Oryza sativa Japonica Group: one gene and its partner. The protein of the gene in region 1 binds, or shares a complex with, the protein of each later gene. Links are inferred from orthologs where the notes say so. Each region holds a gene or a part of one and is shown in the gene's direction. Other genes may lie near its edges. The genes, in order: DNA-directed RNA polymerase II subunit RPB7 and DNA-directed RNA polymerase II subunit 4.

Region 1 (4,156 bases):
TAAATTATATACACTGTAAGCACCCATATATTCAATAGTCACAAATGTGGCTTTATATCATAATTATTATTGATAACAGTAAAGAACAAACAACTACAGACAGCTGCTCACAAAAGAACTAGTCCAAATAACAACATAATTATGCTAACAGGTAACAGCTAGATAACATTCTCACCAGGATATGCATGTAGTGCTTCCATGGCAGCAGCTTGACTAGCAGGATCTGCACCAAGCATGATTACATGTCCACCAATAAGTTCATCCTCTTTATATATATTTGCAAATTCTGCTGGAGGTTTGTCTGATTCAAAATTTGTAACAAGTGCCGTGCCATCGTTTGATGAATCCCGAAGAGTAGAGCCAACAATCTGTTTAACTTTCCCCTGAAAATTTATATTAAGAAACAGCCCATCAGATAAATGACACTGTTAATGCCAGAAGTAACTGAACTCACATGGTTGCAAAATGACAGTAGAAATCAATGCATAAGCCTTTAGTTTTAATATCACGGTGTTCCAGGTGAATCGCATCGCAGGAAAATTTGGAGCATACAAGCTGAAAAAACTTCTGAAAGTACTTTGCTTACAAAGTTGGGGTATCAATTTACGATCATGTTAATGTTCAGAACACCCATGAAACATAAGAGGAAGCAAGTGTTCCACTCGTACGGACCTTATGAATATCGATACACGGCCTGAAGATAACGGCGCACACCACAGCACGTCCTCCTGCCAAAACAAACGAGCAATCCCAGTTTTTCCCCCAATTCGCGACAAGCAGTAACAAATCGAGCCATACAGAGAATCGAATCGAAAGGGACATCATACTCGCCACGCCGGATCTCGCCGGCCGGACGGAGACCATCGGGACAGCCCAACCGGACCGCGCCGCCGCGCACGGTGGAGACGGAACCCTCGATGCCATCCAATCCAGTCGCTGCCACAACCAACAAACAAACACCCGCGAAGCAAATTCAGAAGCAAGCAAGCATGCGGGAGCCCCCCCCCCCCCCAACCCAGGACACGATTCGGAGAGAAGAAGAAGAAACCAGCGCGTACGTGCCGCACCTTCGCAGCCGCCGCCGGCGGGGAGGGGAGGGCTCCGCGGAGGCGGCGCAAGGGCGGCGGCGAGTCGGAGTCGGGGTCGGAGTCGGAGTCGGTGCGAGGCCCAAGCCGAACTAGGTAAAGAGATTTATTGGACGGCCAGGATATGCACAGGGGCGTTGATCCGACGGCTCGAACGCCTCGTCAGGGCTAATAATATTGCCTCTCGCGAGAGAGAAGCCAAGCCAGTTGAGTCGAACTGTTGAGGAATCGCTCGCTCGCTCGCTCGCTCGCCGGCGGCGCGGACGAGGAGGGGGCGAGATGTTCTTCCACATCGTGCTGGAGCGGAACATGCAGCTGCACCCGCGGCACTTCGGCCCGCACCTCCGCGACAAGCTCGTCTCCAAGCTCATCAAGGACGTCGAGGGCACCTGCAGGTAGGGCTCGGGATTGGTTGGGCAAACCCTAGTAGGGCGGGGAGGGGATGTGGGGTTCGACGGGATTCATTCTTGTTCGTCCTTTTGCAGCGGGCGGCATGGGTTCGTGGTGGCGATCACGGGGGTGGAGGATGTCGGCAAGGGGCTCATCAGGGAGGGCACGGGCTACGTCACCTTCCCGGTCAAGTACCAGTGCGTCGTCTTCCGCCCCTTCAAGGGCGAGATCCTGGAGGCCGTCGTCACCATGGTCAACAAGGTGGGCGATGTGCCTCCGTCCCTCGCCGGATTGGTATTTGGTGTTGGGTGGATTAGGGCTTGTTTGTGGTTAGTGGCTCCAATTCGTTTTCGTGTTGGTTCTGCAGATGGGGTTCTTCGCGGAGGCTGGGCCTGTGCAGATCTTCGTGTCCAACCATGTGAGTGCCTGCATTGCTTGGAGCTGCTTTTTTCTAATGCTCCAAATTTGTGGAGTAAAAGAATCAGAATTTATGCTAGAATGATCGATAGACGATAATGGTTCAGTACCATTTTCATACACCCAGTTTAGCTGTACCATCAACTCGAAGGATGGTTTTTGTCATAGAAATTTCTGATACTAATTTATCAAACATGTTGGTTTGAACAATCTTAAAGTGACTGGAAGGCAACATAAGGTTCTAGTTGAATTTGTGCTTTCTAACCAACTAATGTTTTGTTCTTGCATTTTCCCGTTTCTATTTTTGTTGTGCAGTTGATTCCTGATGATATGGAGTTCCAATCTGGGGATGTGCCAAATTATACTACTTCTGATGGATCGGTATGCTTCTTTTCTACAGTTACTTCTTATGTCTTGTCCTCTATAAACATTGACAACTGTTGACAGGTTATGATTTTTTTTCCTGTTTATTTATGCTTATTGGTGATATGTCTGACTTAAAAAGAAATGCTGGGGAATGTAATGTAATGTCCATTGTATCCAATTTTGGTATCAGCATGTCATAACTATGCTTGAAATGCATACACATATATGTTCATTGTTTTTCCTAGAAACGAATAGATGTGAATACTGTACTACTGTTGAAGGCTAATTGCTTTGGCCATCTTCTTTTGCTTACTAGGATTTACTTGTTTGTCCGATGCAGGTGAAAATTCAGAAAGATAGTGAGGTTCGGTTGAAGATTATTGGGACACGTGTTGATGCAACAGAAATTGTAAGTTTGTTGACATCTAGTTTCGTGCAAAAAAACAAACGAAAAACCAGGTGTTCCCTGTCTTTTAGATTTTTGTAGCATTGCTCTCAGAGTAACCACCATATGCAATTATTGGTGATGTAACCCACTTTTCCATACCAGTAGTTTGCATGATGTTTTTCTTTCCTAATGTGTGAAAAAGAACAGATGTGGTTTTATCAGCAAAGATCAACCTTGATGTGTGTCAAGTAAATTAGTTGAAAAGTATATCAAAATGAAAATTTGACATGTAATCTTGTAGCAACAAATTGCAAGTAATTACCATGAATGCTCATAAGCTAGCCACTAGTATGGTATCATAATAGATAATTGTTGAATGCATGTGGCTATATTCTTCCCTGAGGCATTTCTGAATCCATGTTCTTGCTGTCATAACTCATAACCCCGTTTAAGCTGGTGATGTGCAATGCTCTAACAGTTTGAATATGTTTGTTGCAGTTTTGCATTGGCACAATAAAAGATGACTTCCTGGGCGTTATCAGTGATCCTGGTGCGGCAGTGTAAATTATCCGGTGACAAGATTACGCCTCTTCATGCTCTTGAACGGGAATATTCCGATGAATTGTAGTGTTAAAATATGGAAGCCCCACTGGAAGGGGCTGTAAGTGGGTTGGAACCTGTATTTTCATCACTATAAATGGCGCTTTACCAAGTTGGCACTGTTGCTTGAGTGTGTTGTGGGATTCAACTTTCAAGCAGTCATTTAACTAATCAAACTCTGACCTTTTTACGGACTGTACAATTTTGCACTGTATCCTTGCAATTAAACATTCAATGCTTCGAACTGCATCCTTGCAAAATAAAACTAAAGAGAAAGAAAGGGCTAATGAAAAAAGATAGGTTTACACTGTCAGTTGTTCATGTTAGGATCAAGCTAAGGGCAGATACAATAAGTTAGCAAGAACACAGCGGTCACCCCACTTAAGTTCTTGACGGCACTTCCTAATGAAGACAGGAAGTATACTTTGATTGTGCAGTTATACTCAATATTCTCACGTGGTCCTTCAATGAAGGATCTGCATACGGCACTGCTCCTGCGGTATTAACAGAAATCAGATGACAGGAGATAAAACATTGGTAAAGAGCAAAAATTATTTGGATATATAAGTCTCAACTCACCTGCAAGGCTGCAAAGAAGTTAGAGCCAGAGGTTAACCTTTCAGTCTTCCTTCCAAAGGGGCTTGCGGTGCATACACTTGATCAAAATGATCTTCCAAAATGATCTTCCTGACGATTCAATCGTTACCATCGTTTCCACGATTCCACTACACAGAAGGGGCTCCTAAGATGCCCCAAAAACTGATTTTGCAACTCAGCATTTTTAAGCAATTAAGGGGATGAAGTTGTCGTGATAGTCTTTAGTTCCTGATTCCTGAAACAATCAAGAAGATACTCTCATATGTAATAAGTTCAACACTACCATGACATCAAACTGGTGAATAGATCACAG
Region 2 (2,925 bases), on another chromosome or scaffold:
GCAGGGTAGGATGGTTAGAAACAAGCGTTCATCACACGTATGTGGCAACAAAAGCTAAACCCTTTTTAACTTGAAGCCAAGGAAAAAGAGAGATTCTGCTTTGAAACAACATTATACAGAGGTAGCAGCAGCATTCAAACTGAAACTAGAGCAGTCTATATAATATACATCAAGATTAGTCTTTGCATTGTTACAGAATTCACTCATAACAAAGCAAGAAACTAGAACAATGAGTGTGAGTTATGAGACGAGCTTGAGATAGAAATGCAAAGTATACCTTGTAAGAAGAGATGTTGCTCGGCAGAGGCCTTTTCACAAGCACCACCACCAAAAAAAAAAATGAGACAAGGAGGATGAGATAATGCAAGCATTATTAATAACCAACTAAGTAAAAGATTAGGCGAGATGGTGGCGCGAATCTATGGAGGAAAGGGAATGAATAGGTCGCGGGCGTACGGGAACTCGATCTCGAGGCGGGTCTTGCCCTCGTCCATGGCGCAGGCGAGGGAGCGGGCGGCGTCGGAGACGAGCACGTCGTAGGACCGCGGCTTGTACACCGACACCCCCGCCCTAAGCGCCTCCACGTCCCCGGCCTCGGCGCGCGGCGAGCACCGTGCCGCCCCACCACGCCGCCGCGGGAACGCCCCGAGCCGCGGGGCCACGACCGGCGGCGACTGGCCGCACAGGCGACTGCGCGCCGCGGGAGCGGGAGCGGGAGCGCGCGGGCGGAGGCCGGAGAGCGGCGCGGGTGTCGCCATGGCCACGCCGCCGACGACGACGAGTGGTGGAGAGGAGGAGACGAAGTGACGAGCAGCGCCACTGCAATCCACGCGGGCGCCTCGAGGCCACCACCTGCCTCACTGCCACGTGGAGCCCGCACCACCGCACCGGATAAATCCACCAAAAATAAATTAAAAAAAAGAGAGAAGTGAGGTGGAGGTGCGGGGAATCGAACCCCGTGCCTCTCGCATGCGAAGCGAGCGCTCTACCATATGAGCTACACCCCCGATGCTGATCTCCTCGGGAATCGAGCCCCTTCATATCCCCGCCGTCGCCGGGGAAGACGACACGCCCGCCGTCCTTGTCGCCGACCACTCGCCGCCGCCGTCGAGTAGTAAACGGATGGACGGTCCAGATCACCCCGAAAGGAACACGCTCGTGCAGATCGAGCCGGCCCAATGCGTTAATGGGCCTAGCCTGTTAGCGAATCGGATCGTGAGTCCAGCCCGTTAAGAGGCGCCTCTCGCCGCCTTGGTTTCTTTTCCCCTCCCGAGTCCAGACTCCGCCCGCAGCCGCATCGCCAACGCCATAGCCGCCGAGGTTGAGGTGAGCCACCGAGAGGGGAGAGAGAGCGCGCCGAGATGTCCGGCGAGGAGGAGGAGAACGCGGCGGAGCTCAAGATCGGGGAAGGTGAGTCCGTCCGAATCGGAATCGAGTAGAGGTATCGGTTTGATTTGATTTGATACCTAGGGTTTGATGGGTTGCAGAGTTCTTGAAGGCCAAGTGCCTGATGAACTGCGAGGTGGCGATAATCCTGGAGCACAAGTACGAGCAGATCCAGCACATGTCGGACGGGGACCCGTCGTCGCAGGTGTCGCAGGTGTTCGAGAAATCGCTGCAGTACGTGAAGCGGTTCAGCCGGTACAAGAACCCGGACGCGGTGAGGCAGGTGAGGGAGACGCTGAGCCGCTACGGCCTCGCCGAGTTCGAGCTCTGCACCCTCGGCAACCTCTGCCCCGACACCAGCGACGAGGCCTCCGCCCTCGTCCCCTCCCTCCGCTCCGGCGGCAGGTTCGTCGGCGACCCCGGCAGCGAGAAGATCGACAAGATGCTCAACGACCTCTCCCTTATCAAGAAGTTCGAGTAGTAGGACTGTAGCTTATCAGATTTGCTGGTGAACTGTCTAATTAATATCTGTGTTATCTTCTTGAGAGAAGGTGAATCATAATTAGGGCTCATTTGATTTGAATGCTCGTTGAGGTTTGTTCGATATCAAATCGATCCAAAGTTCTGCTGTGTATCAGTGTATCACCTTCAGGAGGAATGTAGTGAGATCATGAAAACCGAGATTAAGTCAATATCTATCTAGTGACTTTTGAAAAGAAAAAGGAGGTGAATTGGAGTACTGATTCATATAATCACTCCTTTTATCTTATGTTTGTCTTTCTGTTATGTATGATCTCTGGGAGTGATGTTTCCATTTTACTATCAGTTATTCATGTGTGATTTTAAAAAAAGGATTTTACCAGTATGTTATTGATTGAAACCGTTGCACAGGATGAAGAAAAAATTGTCCAGGAAACAACCCAGCCAGATTTTCTTTGTTCTGTTTGGTTTAAAAAGAGGTTACCTTACCACGTATTTGCAACAATTGAATGGTGTACTAATTTTTGTGTAGTTTTATTGACATGTGAAGACCAAACATGATTCCACTGTAATCGCTACGAGTAAAAAGGACTAAAGGGGTAAGAATTTCCGTAAAAACTTTGTTCTTCTATCTCACATCAGTGATGAACATCGGCACACATATACTCTGTACTGCACTGGTGATCCGGGAATCCGAATTGAGCCTCAACACCTCCTCAGCATGGTGGAGCTGCTTGTAGCTCACTGTGACAGATTGACATCCAAGTACAAGATAACAAGCACACAGCACAGAAAAAGGCAAGAAGCTTGCATCTTATATACTGCTCCATAGTTACTTACAAGTGACTCGTCTTCTTCTGACTTATATCTACTGAAACCAATCAAAAGACAATATTCTACAAGATCACGGTAAAAACAGATGATGGCGCTTCAAGTCTTGCGAGACATAGTGAGGAGAGCTTTTTGCTTGCTTCAGTTGCTTGAGCTTAGCTACGCTACTACGAGCACCAGTTCCAGCAGCCAATGGAGGACGGCATCCTGCCGGTTCTCCTGATGTGG

What was found.
Region 2: DNA-directed RNA polymerase II subunit RPB7 (region 1) and DNA-directed RNA polymerase II subunit 4 share a complex: the UniProt entries of both Arabidopsis thaliana proteins name them as parts of the RNA polymerase II complex. The link is inferred for Oryza sativa Japonica Group from reciprocal best matches to the Arabidopsis thaliana genes NRPB7 and NRPB4.

The regions. Positions count from the first base shown.
Region 1 is NC_089039.1:19,589,657-19,593,812, reverse strand, and holds DNA-directed RNA polymerase II subunit RPB7, read left to right. Parts: upstream 1-1,285; 5' UTR 1,286-1,364; coding exon 1,365-1,480; intron 1,481-1,570; coding exon 1,571-1,736; intron 1,737-1,842; coding exon 1,843-1,893; intron 1,894-2,207; coding exon 2,208-2,273; intron 2,274-2,598; coding exon 2,599-2,667; intron 2,668-3,144; coding exon 3,145-3,210; 3' UTR 3,211-3,448; downstream 3,449-4,156. Other genes in the region: 1-(5-phosphoribosyl)-5-[(5-phosphoribosylamino)methylideneamino] imidazole-4-carboxamide isomerase, chloroplastic, read right to left, coding at 176-383, 673-728, 828-924. UniProt on the Arabidopsis thaliana protein: DNA-dependent RNA polymerase catalyzes the transcription of DNA into RNA using the four ribonucleoside triphosphates as substrates. Component of RNA polymerase II which synthesizes mRNA precursors and many functional non-coding RNAs.
Region 2 is NC_089036.1:900,691-903,615, reverse strand, and holds DNA-directed RNA polymerase II subunit 4, read left to right. Parts: upstream 1-1,271; 5' UTR 1,272-1,361; coding exon 1,362-1,410; intron 1,411-1,487; coding exon 1,488-1,867; 3' UTR 1,868-2,155; downstream 2,156-2,925. Other genes in the region: protein LPA3, read right to left, coding at 278-308, 457-758; uncharacterized protein, read right to left, coding at 2,865-2,925. UniProt on the Arabidopsis thaliana protein: DNA-dependent RNA polymerase catalyzes the transcription of DNA into RNA using the four ribonucleoside triphosphates as substrates. Second largest component of RNA polymerase II which synthesizes mRNA precursors and many functional non-coding RNAs.